3 linked regions of the Callithrix jacchus genome follow. The protein of the gene in region 1 interacts with the protein of each later gene in a pairwise test. Links are inferred from orthologs where the notes say so. Each region holds a gene or a part of one and is shown in the gene's direction. Other genes may lie near its edges.

Region 1 (3,725 bases):
AAATATGTGCTTAACTCATACCTAGAACAATTGGAAAGTAATTCAATCTATCCAACCCATAACAATTGCCAGCTCTATTAGGCTTTTCAAAAGGCTCTTATCTCCAGCTCTGCTTCTTTAATGTATATTATTGGTCATTTGATTTTTCAGATGAAATCCCCACAGTGGTGGGGATCTTCAGTGCATTTGGCCTGGTCTTCACAGTCTCTCTCTTTGCATGGATCTGCTGTCAGAGAAAATCATCCAAGTCTAACAAGACTCCTCCATACAAGTTTGTGCATGTGCTTAAGGGAGTTGACATTTACCCTGAAAACCTAAATAGCAAAAAGAAGTTTGGAGCAGATGACAAAAATGAAGTAAAGAATAAACCAGCTGTGCCAAAGAATTCATTACATCTGGATCTTGAAAAGAGAGATCTCAATGGCAATTTTCCCAAAACCAACCTCAAAGCTGGCAGCCCCTCTGATCCGGAGAATGCAACCCCGAAGCTCACTTTAGAAGGGGAAAAAGAGGCAGTTTCCCCTGATAGTTTAAAGTCCAGCACTTCTCTTACTTCAGAAGAGAAACAAGAGAAGCTGGGAACGCTCTTCTTCTCCTTAGAATACAACTTCGAGAGAAAAGCATTTGTGGTCAATATAAAGGAAGCCCGTGGCTTGCCAGCCATGGATGAGCAGTCAATGACCTCTGACCCATATATCAAAATGACGATCCTCCCAGAGAAGAAGCATAAAGTGAAAACTAGAGTGCTGAGAAAAACCTTGGATCCAGCTTTTGATGAAACCTTTACATTCTATGGGATCCCCTATACCCAAATCCAAGAATTGGCCTTGCACTTCACAATTTTGAGTTTTGACAGGTTTTCAAGAGATGATATCATTGGGGAAGTTCTAATTCCTCTCTCAGGAATTGAATTATCTGAAGGAAAAATGTTAATGAACAGAGAGATCATCAAAAGAAATGTTAGGGTAATTTATTTTCAGTGCTTAAAGTTTTTATAAACAATCTTTTATGTAGCTTTTTTGTGTTTAAGGAATTTTCATTAATATGATAAGCTTGTACATGTCATCCTTACCATGTTTAATTATTATTAATTATAATCAAATGGAGAGCAAGGGAATAGAACAGACAAAATAAAATTTAATTCATAACTGAAATACTCAAATAGTTTTAATGACATAAACTAAATAGGCATTCTTTATAGAAGGATATTTAGATATCGCTTATATAAATTTGTTTAACTCGATTATAAATATTTTGACAGACACTGCTACTTTAAAATACAGGTGAATATTTCTTACTCATAATCAAATTAACAAAGAGGTTTCAAGGTCAGCATAATTGAATTTAAAATTGAAATTTAAAATTAAATCAATTCTTCCTGAGGATTTGGAAATTGTATTGACTTTCATGGAACTGCTTTTCAAGGAGGAGGTATCATGTCATATTCAATTATAAATGTTCATCTGTAAATTGTACACTAGGAAGTGAGTTCGTCTGCTTTTGTAGTTATACTACTCTAGTAGTTCTGGTTTTATTAAAAAATAATAAGATATCATTAAACAAATTTAACCCATTTTCACTTTAAATTTCAAACTCAATTGATTTCAATAGTGGTATTTCAGAATAATTTCTCTCTATAATAGAATGATTTATAAAAATAAATAAATATACTATTTTATGTTTTTTTAAACCACATAGTGTTTCAGAGCTAAAAATAATTTCACAGCTCATTTTGACTGTATCCTCTCATTGAAATTAGTGAAGGTCAAGGTTCAGAGACATTCTACAGCTTGTTTGAGACAGCTGGCTGGCTTAGTGGCACAGTGTGAATAAGGATATGTCTCCTACCCTGATTCTCCTTAGAGTGCTTACTGATATAGCTGATCCATGTTAGCTTTTGTATAAATATATTGCAGCTTTAGTTTTGTGTCACCCATCATTCTAGTTGCAAAACATTCCAAGTTAATATCTTGTTACTTTCAGTCAAAACTTTTACTTTGAATTATCGGATGTCTTACCCATTGTCTTTAAAGTACAAATAAAATCTAAGTAGCATGAAAAGAAGGACGCTGTGATACTGTCCAAAAACAATGTATTAAAATTTCAGAATCAATTCTCTCCAATACTTGAAATCAAATCATTCCTTGGCTTAAATGGAAACTTGCTGTTGGGAAAGAGGCAGATAATTAACTCCATTATACCTTTGGACTGGAAAAGTAGTTGGGATCAGAATAAATCTCATTTGTTCTAAATTCAAATTTCAATATGTCAGTGCTAAAGGATTTGAAATCAAATCAAACTTATCTAATTATTTGCATGAGTATATGTAGAGTCATTTGACCTTACACATACTCATGCAAAGACTTAGGTAAACTTTATTACTATTAATAACTTTGAGAAGTAGAGGTGTTATTAAAAAGCAAAAATCAAAAATAATTCTGTGTAAGATATAATTTAAATATTCTTTAAACATTGCTAAGTAATGGGTGTGGTCGATTTATAGCAGTGAAACATCCTGTAGTACCCAATGGGACCACAAGATGGCAGGCAGTTGTTTTTCAAGCAGTGATGGTACTGCACAAAAGCTGTTACTCTGATTCCTTAGCATATTAAAATAAAAATAACCAAGAAGATTACATTTAAATGACAATGCTATTTAAACTTCAATGAACGTGCAAACTTCAAAGCTAAAAAATAATAGAAATACTTATATTACATTTCTCTTTCTTTAGAAGTCTTCAGGAAGGGGTGAGTTACTGATCTCTCTCTGCTATCAGTCCACCACAAATACTCTAACTGTGGTTGTTTTAAAAGCTAGACATCTGCCTAAGTCTGATGTGTCCGGACTTTCAGGTAAGAATGCTTCTGAAATACTCAGGTTCAGTGTATGAGTGGAATGTATTTTACTGCAAATGAGCCCACCACCTACTCTTACTCTTCTCTTGTTTTATCTTTTCTGTAATTCCTTATGTATCTGCTTTAAAAAATTAGCTTTTAGTTTTGTGACTAACTTTACAAAAACTAAACAAAACAAGAATTTTTTATTGTATATTACAATGAGAAACAAAATAAGCTGTAGTTTAAAATTACCTGAGTTCAAGTCCTAATTTTATCACTTAGCAAAATATTATTGGGTATGTTTCTTAAACTCTGTAGAAACTGGAAATAATGCTATTCATCTTAACAGGTATTGTGAGGGCTAGAAATGTGTACATCTTTAAATATCATCTAATATTATTATTATTATTATTTAATAATGGGAGTTGGAAACATGGTCTCAAAAGATTAGATTAGGAAGCTGAAATTAACTTGTATGCTGCCACCAGAAAAAGGCAAAAGTAATTGTGATAAAATAGCATTAACTTAAAATCTACATATTATCAATTACACAGAGAAGCTCAACACTGGGAAACAGAAAACAAATCCAGCCTGTGACTAAAGAAACTCAGAAAAGTTAAAACTAAAAAGACCATTGCCACTGTAGTCTCTACATTCTCATTAGGTGGAAAAAGCAGTCAAAAGTCAGGGAAATAAAGACTTACCCAAAGTCATCCAGGTCAATAAACCTAAATGTTGTCTAATATATTTATTTCCCTCCTACCCCATTTTCTACACTAAGTTATTAGTAATCAGAATGAGTCCATAAAACATTTTATTTTCTTTCCTTTTGTGTTACCTCTTTTCCTACCATTATTTTTCCCCTATTTTCCGATTTAGAACAGTTT
Region 2 (3,600 bases), on another chromosome or scaffold:
CAATCACAGCACCTTCATTTTTTTTTTTTTTTTTTGAGACGGAGTTTCACTCTTGTTACCCAGGCTGGAGTGCAATGGTGTGATCTCGGCTCACCGCAACCTCCGCCTCCTGGGTTCAGGCAATTCTCCTGCCTCAGCCTCCCGAGTAGCTGGGATTACAGGCACGCGCCACCATGCCCAGCTAATTTTTTGTATTTTTAGTAGAGACGGGGTTTCATATGTTGACCAGGTTGGTCTCGATCTCTCGACCTTGTGATCCACCCGCCTCAGCCTCCCAAAGTGCTGGGATTACAGGCTTGAGCCACTGCGCCCGGCCAACCTTCATTTTTTTTTTGCAGGGTTTGCTGTGAAATTTCTTGTTTCTGTATTTATGCACTAGTTTATTAGTTGATAGTCCGTCTACACCAATGCAAGATAATGAGAGTAGACACTTCGCTGATTTTTATGGCTGGTTTGTAATAAATATTGATTGAATATGAGGCACCTGCTGTCTACAAATGTCTCTATTTTCACAGACGTCTCATAGATTGCATGAAAGAATGCATTTGTGGGTGAGTAGATGGGTGGGTAAATAATAAACAAAGACAGGGAGCGGATAACAGTGACTCCCATTCATTGCGCGCCTGTGACGCTCTGAGGTCCAGATGTCCAAACGCGGCTGCACCACGTGGCCGGCCCAGCACCACGTGGTCAGCTCCGCCACCTGTTGCAGTCCGCCACTGTCCCACCATGCACCGCTTCATGCTTGTTTTAGATGGCAAGTCAGACCTGATTTCCGGCCTCCGTTAGGTCGCAGAGGTCAGTTGCCCTAACGACCAGCTGGTACCCGCCTCTACGTTACGCCACTTCCTGTCACGCCCACTTAGAGCAGTAATGCACCTGCGCAGAAGGGAAGCAAGCCGGGATGCCCTTGTTCTGCGCAGGCGTGGAGCCCAGGGGCCGGGGCCGGGTGGCACCGCGGTGCGCAAGCGCAACCGTCGGTGGGTCGGGGATCGGTCGCCTGAGAGGTGAGTAAGGGGCTCCGTGCTGAGCCTGGGGGATCGGGGGTCTGCGGCTCGGGGCTCACGGGGCCCCAGAGCCCGTAAGAGGTTGGGGATTGTGAGGTCAGGGTCACCGCGACTCGCGGGGTCCTGTGAGTAGGTGGCGCGGAGGGGAAACTGAGGCCGGGAGGCATCGGGCAGGCCGTTCGAGCCCCGATCTCCCTGTCCCGGACCCCAGGTCCTGGAAATGCTGGTCCGCGGGCTGGTGGCGAGGTCGGCGGGAGGTGAAGGCGCCCCGGAGTAGTGAGCGCTCGCTGGGTGTCCGCTGCCGTCTCGCTCTTATTAACCGCCTGGAAATGTCGTTCCTGTGACTCGGGGACCCCCGTTTGTGGTGACTCAAGTCGGGGCTCTAGTCCCAGCGCCGCCAGTCCCTACCTCGGTGACCTTACCCAGCCTCTTGGCTTTTTGGAGCCTCAGTTGTCCCCTCTGTAAAACGGACGCTGTCAAAAGTCCCTGCCTGGGAAATGAGAGCCGCGGGGCCCAGCGCCAAGTGAGAACCCCGAAGAATTGGCGGCCGTTCGTCTTATTTCATGTTTAGAGTCGTCTTCTGCATATCTTGCTGGAGGTTGGGGCAATGTGGGATACAGGACCAGCCCTCCAGCACGTCTTACCCGCTGCGTAAACCTGGGTGAGTCGCCTCCGCTCTAAGCAAAGCGCCCCTTCTTTCGTAAACAGGAGTGGTAAAAGCAGATGTGTCGGAGGGTCCTTATGAGGGTAAACCCACATAGGATTCTTTGACGGGGTGCCTGGAAGTTGGTAAGAGAGAGCTGGCTTGAGAACGGCTGTTTTTGTTATTCGGGGCCAGAAGATTGCCGTGAGTGTGCATCTCAGAGGGTGAATGATTCTCCCATTTTCTTTTGTTTCTGTGTCTTTTTTTTTTTTTTTGAGACGGAGTTTTGCTCTTGTTACCCAGGCTGGAGTGCAATGGCGCGATCTCGGCTCACCGCAACCTCCGCCTCCTGGGTTCAGGCAATTCTCCTGCCTCAGCCTCCCAAGTAGCTGGGATTACAGGCACGTGCCACCGTGCCCAGCTAATTTTTTGTATTTTTAGTAGAGACGGGGTTTCACCATGTTGACCAGGATGGTCTTGATCTCTTGACCTCGTGATCCGCCCGCCTCAGCCTCCCAAAGTGCTGGGATTACAGGCATGAGCCACCGCGCCCGGCTGAGACGGAATCTTATTCGGTCGCCCAGACAGGAGTGCAGTGGCTTCATCTCGGCTCACTCCACCTCCTGGGTTCAAGCGATTCTCCTGCCTCAGCCTCCCCAGTAGCTGGGATTACAGGTTGGTGCCACCACGCCCGGCTAATTTTTTTGTATTTTTAGTAGAGACGGGGTTTCACCATGTTGGCCAGGCTGGTCTCCAACTCTTGACTTGATGATCTGTCTGCCTAAGCCTCCCAAAGTGCTGGGGTTACAGGTGTGAGCCCCCATGCCTGTCCTACAACAGCGTTTTAAAGAAACTGTTAAAAATGACAAAGGCAAATAGAGAACAGTGACAACAGGAAGGGCAGGAACACCTGGGGATGTCTGGGCTCCCGCACACTCATTTGTTTTTCTGTTTTTTGGTTTTTTTTGCTTTGTTTTGTTTTGAGACGGAGTCTTGCTCTGTTGCAATGGCGTGATCTTGGCTCACTCCACCTCTGGGGCCCAAGCAGTTGTCCTGCGTCATTCTCTCAGTAGCTGGGACTACAGGCACGCACCACCACGCCCGCCTAATTTTTGTATTCTTAGTAAAGAAGGGCTTTCACCATGTTGCTCAGGCTGGTCTCGAACTCTTGACCTCGTGATCCACCCGCCTCAGCCTCCCACAGTGCTGGGATTACAGGCGTGAGCCACCGTGCCTTGCCTTGTTTCTGTCTCTGATTATTCGTTTTGTCTGTCTTTTCCCTCCCTTGACCAGCGGGTCTCAACCGGGAACAGTCCTATGCCCCGGGGATACTTGGTGACCTTGTGGTTGTCATGATTTGGGGGACCTCCTGGTACGGAGTGGGTAGAGGCCAGGGATGCTGCTCACTACCCTGCAGTGCCTAGGATAGCCCCGCCCCAGAGAATAATCTAGTGTCGAATGTCAATCATGCTTTAAAAACCTTATCATATGGGTGGATCGCCTGAGGTCAGGAGTTTGAGACCAGCCTGGCCAACATGGTGAAATCCCATCTGTACTGAAGAGACAAAAATTAGCTGGGCATGGTGGCATGTGTGCCTGTCATCCCAACTACTCAGGAGGCTGAGGCAGGAGAATCCCTTGAACCCAGGAGGCTGAGGTTGCAGTGAGCCGAGACCACGCCATTGCACTCCAGCCTGGGTGACAGAGTAAGACCCCGTCAAAAATCAAAACCCTATGCTAGATCAGTGATACCTTACCAGCATGGGCAGCTGGGAGCGTGTGGCTCCGTGAAATCGTGAACGAAGTTTTGTGTGTGCACCCAATTTTGTGTCTAGGGTAATGGGTACTTTGGAGTTTAGCCTCTCAAGTCAGGCTGGTCTCAAGCTCCTGGATTCAAGTGATGGTCCACCTTGCCTCCAAAGTTCTGTGACGAGAGGCGTGCCCCACCAC
Region 3 (3,825 bases), on another chromosome or scaffold:
AACTACTTAAGTAACAATCAGAATGTCAAAAGTCCTCTGGCCCTCGGAGTGTCCGGAGCCCCTCACCCTCATCTTCGCCTAGGAATCCACTGGAATGTCCAGAGCCCCTCACGCTCATCTCCACCCAGGATGATTCACAGCATCCACTAGCCCTCAGAACGTCTGAAGCCCCTCACCCCCAACCCCCGCCCTTTGTCCTCACTCCCGAGGTGGTTTTACGGGTATAAAAGGTCTTGACACCCTCCTTTGGGGGCCACGGGTTGGAGAGACGCGAGTCCTCGGTGGCCGCCGGCAATAAAGACCCTGCAATTTGGCATACTTTTGTCTTGGTGTTGACTTTCTATGCTCAGGCCAGTACAACAGACGTTGTTCCCCTCGAGGCACATTCCAGTTCCTATAACTAGGATTCCCCCTCAGACACACCATGCCCTCTTCCTTATCCTCGGTGCTTCCCTCGCGATCTACAAACTGCCCCCCGCCCCAGGGTTCACAACGCCTTACGCCTCTTAGGTTCCACCGTCCTCCCACCCCCAGCCTAAAGAATACCTATCTGTTCTGCTTTGGAAATTCACTCTCGCCCGCCAGTCCCCCGGAGCATCGCTTGGGACCCTGTCCCTTTCCCGGGGTTCTATTACCTTTACCCAGAGCAGAGCGTACAGGCGTCAGGACCTCTTGGGACCAGGGGCCCAGTTATCTGAGAAACCTCACGCCCCGTCCACCATTCAGAGTCTCAGCGAGCTCACGCCGCGCAGTCGCAGTTTAAATTTATCTGTAATTCCCGCGCTTTTCCGTTGCCACGGAAACCAGCGGGCTGCCACTGAACAACAGCCTCCTAGAATTCAAGACGCATTACAGGAAGGGCGAGACAGAAAGAGCCAAGCGTCTCTCGGGGCTCTGGATTGGCCACCCAGTCTTCCGCCGAATGGCGTAGAAAGAAAGAGACGGAAAAGGAGGCACTCTTACCTGGGTTTGCCAGAAAGCGCCCGCCCTCTCTCCGCTACGCTAACGCTTGCGGCTTATTACGTCACAGTAATTGCTGTACGAAGGCCAGAATCGCTACCAAAGACCTGAATGTGAGCGCGAGATAGCGTTCAAAGCTGTCGTAAGAGCTTCCGTTCCCCCACTCTTTCCGCTCCAATGGAGGTCTCCTGTTTAGGTAAATAAAAGGATTGTGGTGGCGGGGGGTGGGGGACGGCGATGGAAGAGAACTACAATTTCCACCATGCATTGCGGAATGAAAGGCCTTCGCCACCGTGTTTCTTGAAAACTGTAGTCTTATGGAGCTGACCATCCAATACCGAAGCGGGCACAATTCTCACGGAAATCCAGTGGATAAATTGGAGACCTCCGAGCCCTTATACATGTCAACAGTTATGGATTGGAGTGTTGTTATGTTTTGTATCTTGAGAGCGGAGACTAGGCCAAAAAAAAAGATACGTATAACTCCTAGGAAGACTACAATTCCCATCCAGCCCCACTAGTCCTCTAAGGTTAGTTGCCTGTGGGATCGCAGGGGCTACCGTATTTGCCTGGGGAAGGGGAAATCCGCTCTGACCCACGTCTGCGCACTCGTAGTTCCGCCCCTCGACCCCAATGTTTGTTATTGTTGTTCAGTTACAGGTTGCTTCTGCCCCGCCCCCGTCGATACAATCTCCACCAATCAATGGGGTGGTTGTTTTGAGGGACAAATGGCAAGATCCAATCATCTTGTCGGAAACTCAGAGAACCAGGGGACTAGTTACTGTCTTTATCCGCCATGTTAGATTCACCGCCACAGGGATAGCGGCAGAGCTGGCTGCGGACGGTCCTTGCATTGGCCTCTGGCAGGCGCCCCCCGGGGGCGGGAAGCTGGTAAGGAAGCAGCTGCGGTTACCTAGGAGTGGGGTCACGTCACACTAAGAGGGTTTGGGGAAGTTCAAGAGAGGAATCCTGCAAAGAAGACGGGGCACTTTTTCCGTGTCTCGGGACACCTAATCTTTTTAGTGATTGGATGAGAGAGCCCTTCTTGTTCAGAGGGACCGAGTGGGCGAAAAGCGCTGGAGAGGTGGAGGGTCTGTGGTTCAGAACATCCGGCTTCAACTGGTGGAAGGCCACGACTCCCCCGCAGAAAGAGGGCCTAGGCAAAGAAATTGAGAGGGAGTCCTCGGGGTGGTGACACCGTCTTGGGAACATGGAGTGCTGGGAAACGATAACTGGAAGACTAGGATGAAGTCTGCAAGTAAAAATATGACACTACCCACATATTCTCATCCCATCCTTCTTTTTTCGGGACCCTCTTAAAGCGATCCCTTTGGTTAGGGACCTTCGGTTTTGGAAAGGCACTATTTTTCCTTTTTATCAAACACCCAGCTTTCAGGACACACTTTTTTTATTTTTTATTTTTCTGAGACAGAGTCTCGCAGTGTTGCCCAGGCTGGTCTTGAACCGCTCCTGACCTCAGGTCACACATTTTAAAGCTTCGATAACTTGGCTTGTACAGGCCTCTGGTGGAGACAGTAATCAAAGCTCAGGTTTCCAGGTCTGTTTCATTAAAGGGATTTTGTTGAGGCTGGAAGAAGAAAAAAATCGACGTAGAGGAAAAGCTAACTTGTGTCAAGCAAAGGTGAGTCAGTGGCATGGACTTAAAATAATGCCAGTTACGAAAGCCCTGGGACCCAGCTATCTGTCTTACTGGCTTTAGACCTAAGGGGCAGATGGGGTTAACCATAGCTTTGGTATTTACAGAAGTTCAAGATTAATGTTCTTGTGGAAAGAATCTTTTTACATGTCAGCCAAAGATAGTTTCTTATGAAGACCTGGATATGGTCCAGCTAAGCTAGAATCTCCCACTTCCTGTTTTCTCTTAGTTGGCCGACCAGCTGGAGGAGCTCCAGAGTATCTAAATTAATTTCCAATTGTGTAATTTGAGAAACAGAGGAAGATTCATTTCCTTAAGTGTGTTTCTTGAAGTTAGAAAGTGATATTTCAGAATATCCACTTTTGGCAGACTGAGTCAGTCACTTCATTTCCCTGACTTTTTGCCTAAAGTCCTGGGGAATTGAAAAAAATTCTGCCCAAATCTTAAGGACCCCAAGAATTACATTTCACATGAATGAATACTAGATGTCAGCAGGATGGTTGTTAACACGGTAGTATTGTTTTGGTGGTGAACTTGAGTCTAGGTAGAAACAAAGAATGAAGAAAATTGAAGGATAATCGTCTTAGGGTTTCACAAAAGTGCCTGATCTTCACAGAGTTCAGAGTCCTTAAAATGATAGTCTTAATTGTAGTGTTTTACAGGGCAATGCATTACATTGTGGAAAACAGTACAGGTTTATGGTTTTACAGATTGGTTTATTATTTAAAACCTTTTTTAAATTTAACTTAATTTTTTAAGGAAATGGGGTCTGGCTTTGTTTCCCAGGCTGGTCTTGAACTCCTAGGCTCATGATCCTCCTGCCTCAGCCTCCCAAAGTGCTAGGATTACAGGCAGGAGCCACTACACCTAGCCAATTTTTTCTTTTCATTTTTATTTTTATTTTTGAGACAGAGTCTTGCTCTGTCACCCAGGTGGGAGTGCAGTGGCATGATCTTGGGTCACTGCAACCTTGCCTCCAAGGTTCAAACAATTCTCATGCTTTAGCCTCCTGAGTAGCTGGGATTACAGACCTGTGCAACCACACCCACCTAATTTTTGCTTTTTTAGTAGAGACAGGGTTTCACCACGTTGGCTAGGCTGGTCTCGAACTCCTTGACTCAAGCAATCTGCCTGCCTCTGTCTCCCAAATGCTGGGATTAAAGGCATGAGCCACTGTTCTGCGGATTACCTGAGTCGAGAGTTCGAGA

What was found.
Region 2: the proteins of SYT4 (region 1) and SGTA interact in binary tests that used the Homo sapiens proteins (3 or more experiments, as listed by UniProt). The two-hybrid records come from large-scale screens. The link is inferred for Callithrix jacchus from reciprocal best matches to the Homo sapiens genes SYT4 and SGTA.
Region 3: the proteins of SYT4 (region 1) and NBR1 interact in binary tests that used the Homo sapiens proteins (3 or more experiments, as listed by UniProt). The two-hybrid records come from large-scale screens. The link is inferred for Callithrix jacchus from reciprocal best matches to the Homo sapiens genes SYT4 and NBR1.

What each region holds. Positions count from the first base shown.
Region 1 is NC_133514.1:86,324,300-86,328,024, reverse strand, and holds part of SYT4 (synaptotagmin-4), read left to right. Parts: intron 1-150; coding exon 151-965; intron 966-2,732; coding exon 2,733-2,853; intron 2,854-3,725. UniProt on the Homo sapiens protein: Synaptotagmin family member which does not bind Ca(2+). Involved in neuronal dense core vesicles (DCVs) mobility through its interaction with KIF1A.
Region 2 is NC_133523.1:2,625,039-2,628,638, reverse strand, and holds the start of SGTA (small glutamine-rich tetratricopeptide repeat-containing protein alpha), read left to right. Parts: upstream 1-869; 5' UTR 870-904; coding exon 905-1,007; intron 1,008-1,578; exon of another isoform or gene 1,579-1,668; intron 1,669-3,600. UniProt on the Homo sapiens protein: Co-chaperone that binds misfolded and hydrophobic patches-containing client proteins in the cytosol. Mediates their targeting to the endoplasmic reticulum but also regulates their sorting to the proteasome when targeting fails.
Region 3 is NC_133506.1:120,771,635-120,775,459, reverse strand, and holds the start of NBR1 (next to BRCA1 gene 1 protein), read left to right. Parts: upstream 1-1,026; 5' UTR 1,027-1,156; exon of another isoform or gene 1,157-1,490; intron 1,491-1,740; exon of another isoform or gene 1,741-2,506; coding exon of another isoform or gene 2,507-2,548; exon of another isoform or gene 2,549-2,602; intron 2,603-3,825. Other genes in the region: uncharacterized protein LOC144582689, read right to left, coding at 2,507-2,548. UniProt on the Homo sapiens protein: Ubiquitin-binding autophagy adapter that participates in different processes including host defense or intracellular homeostasis.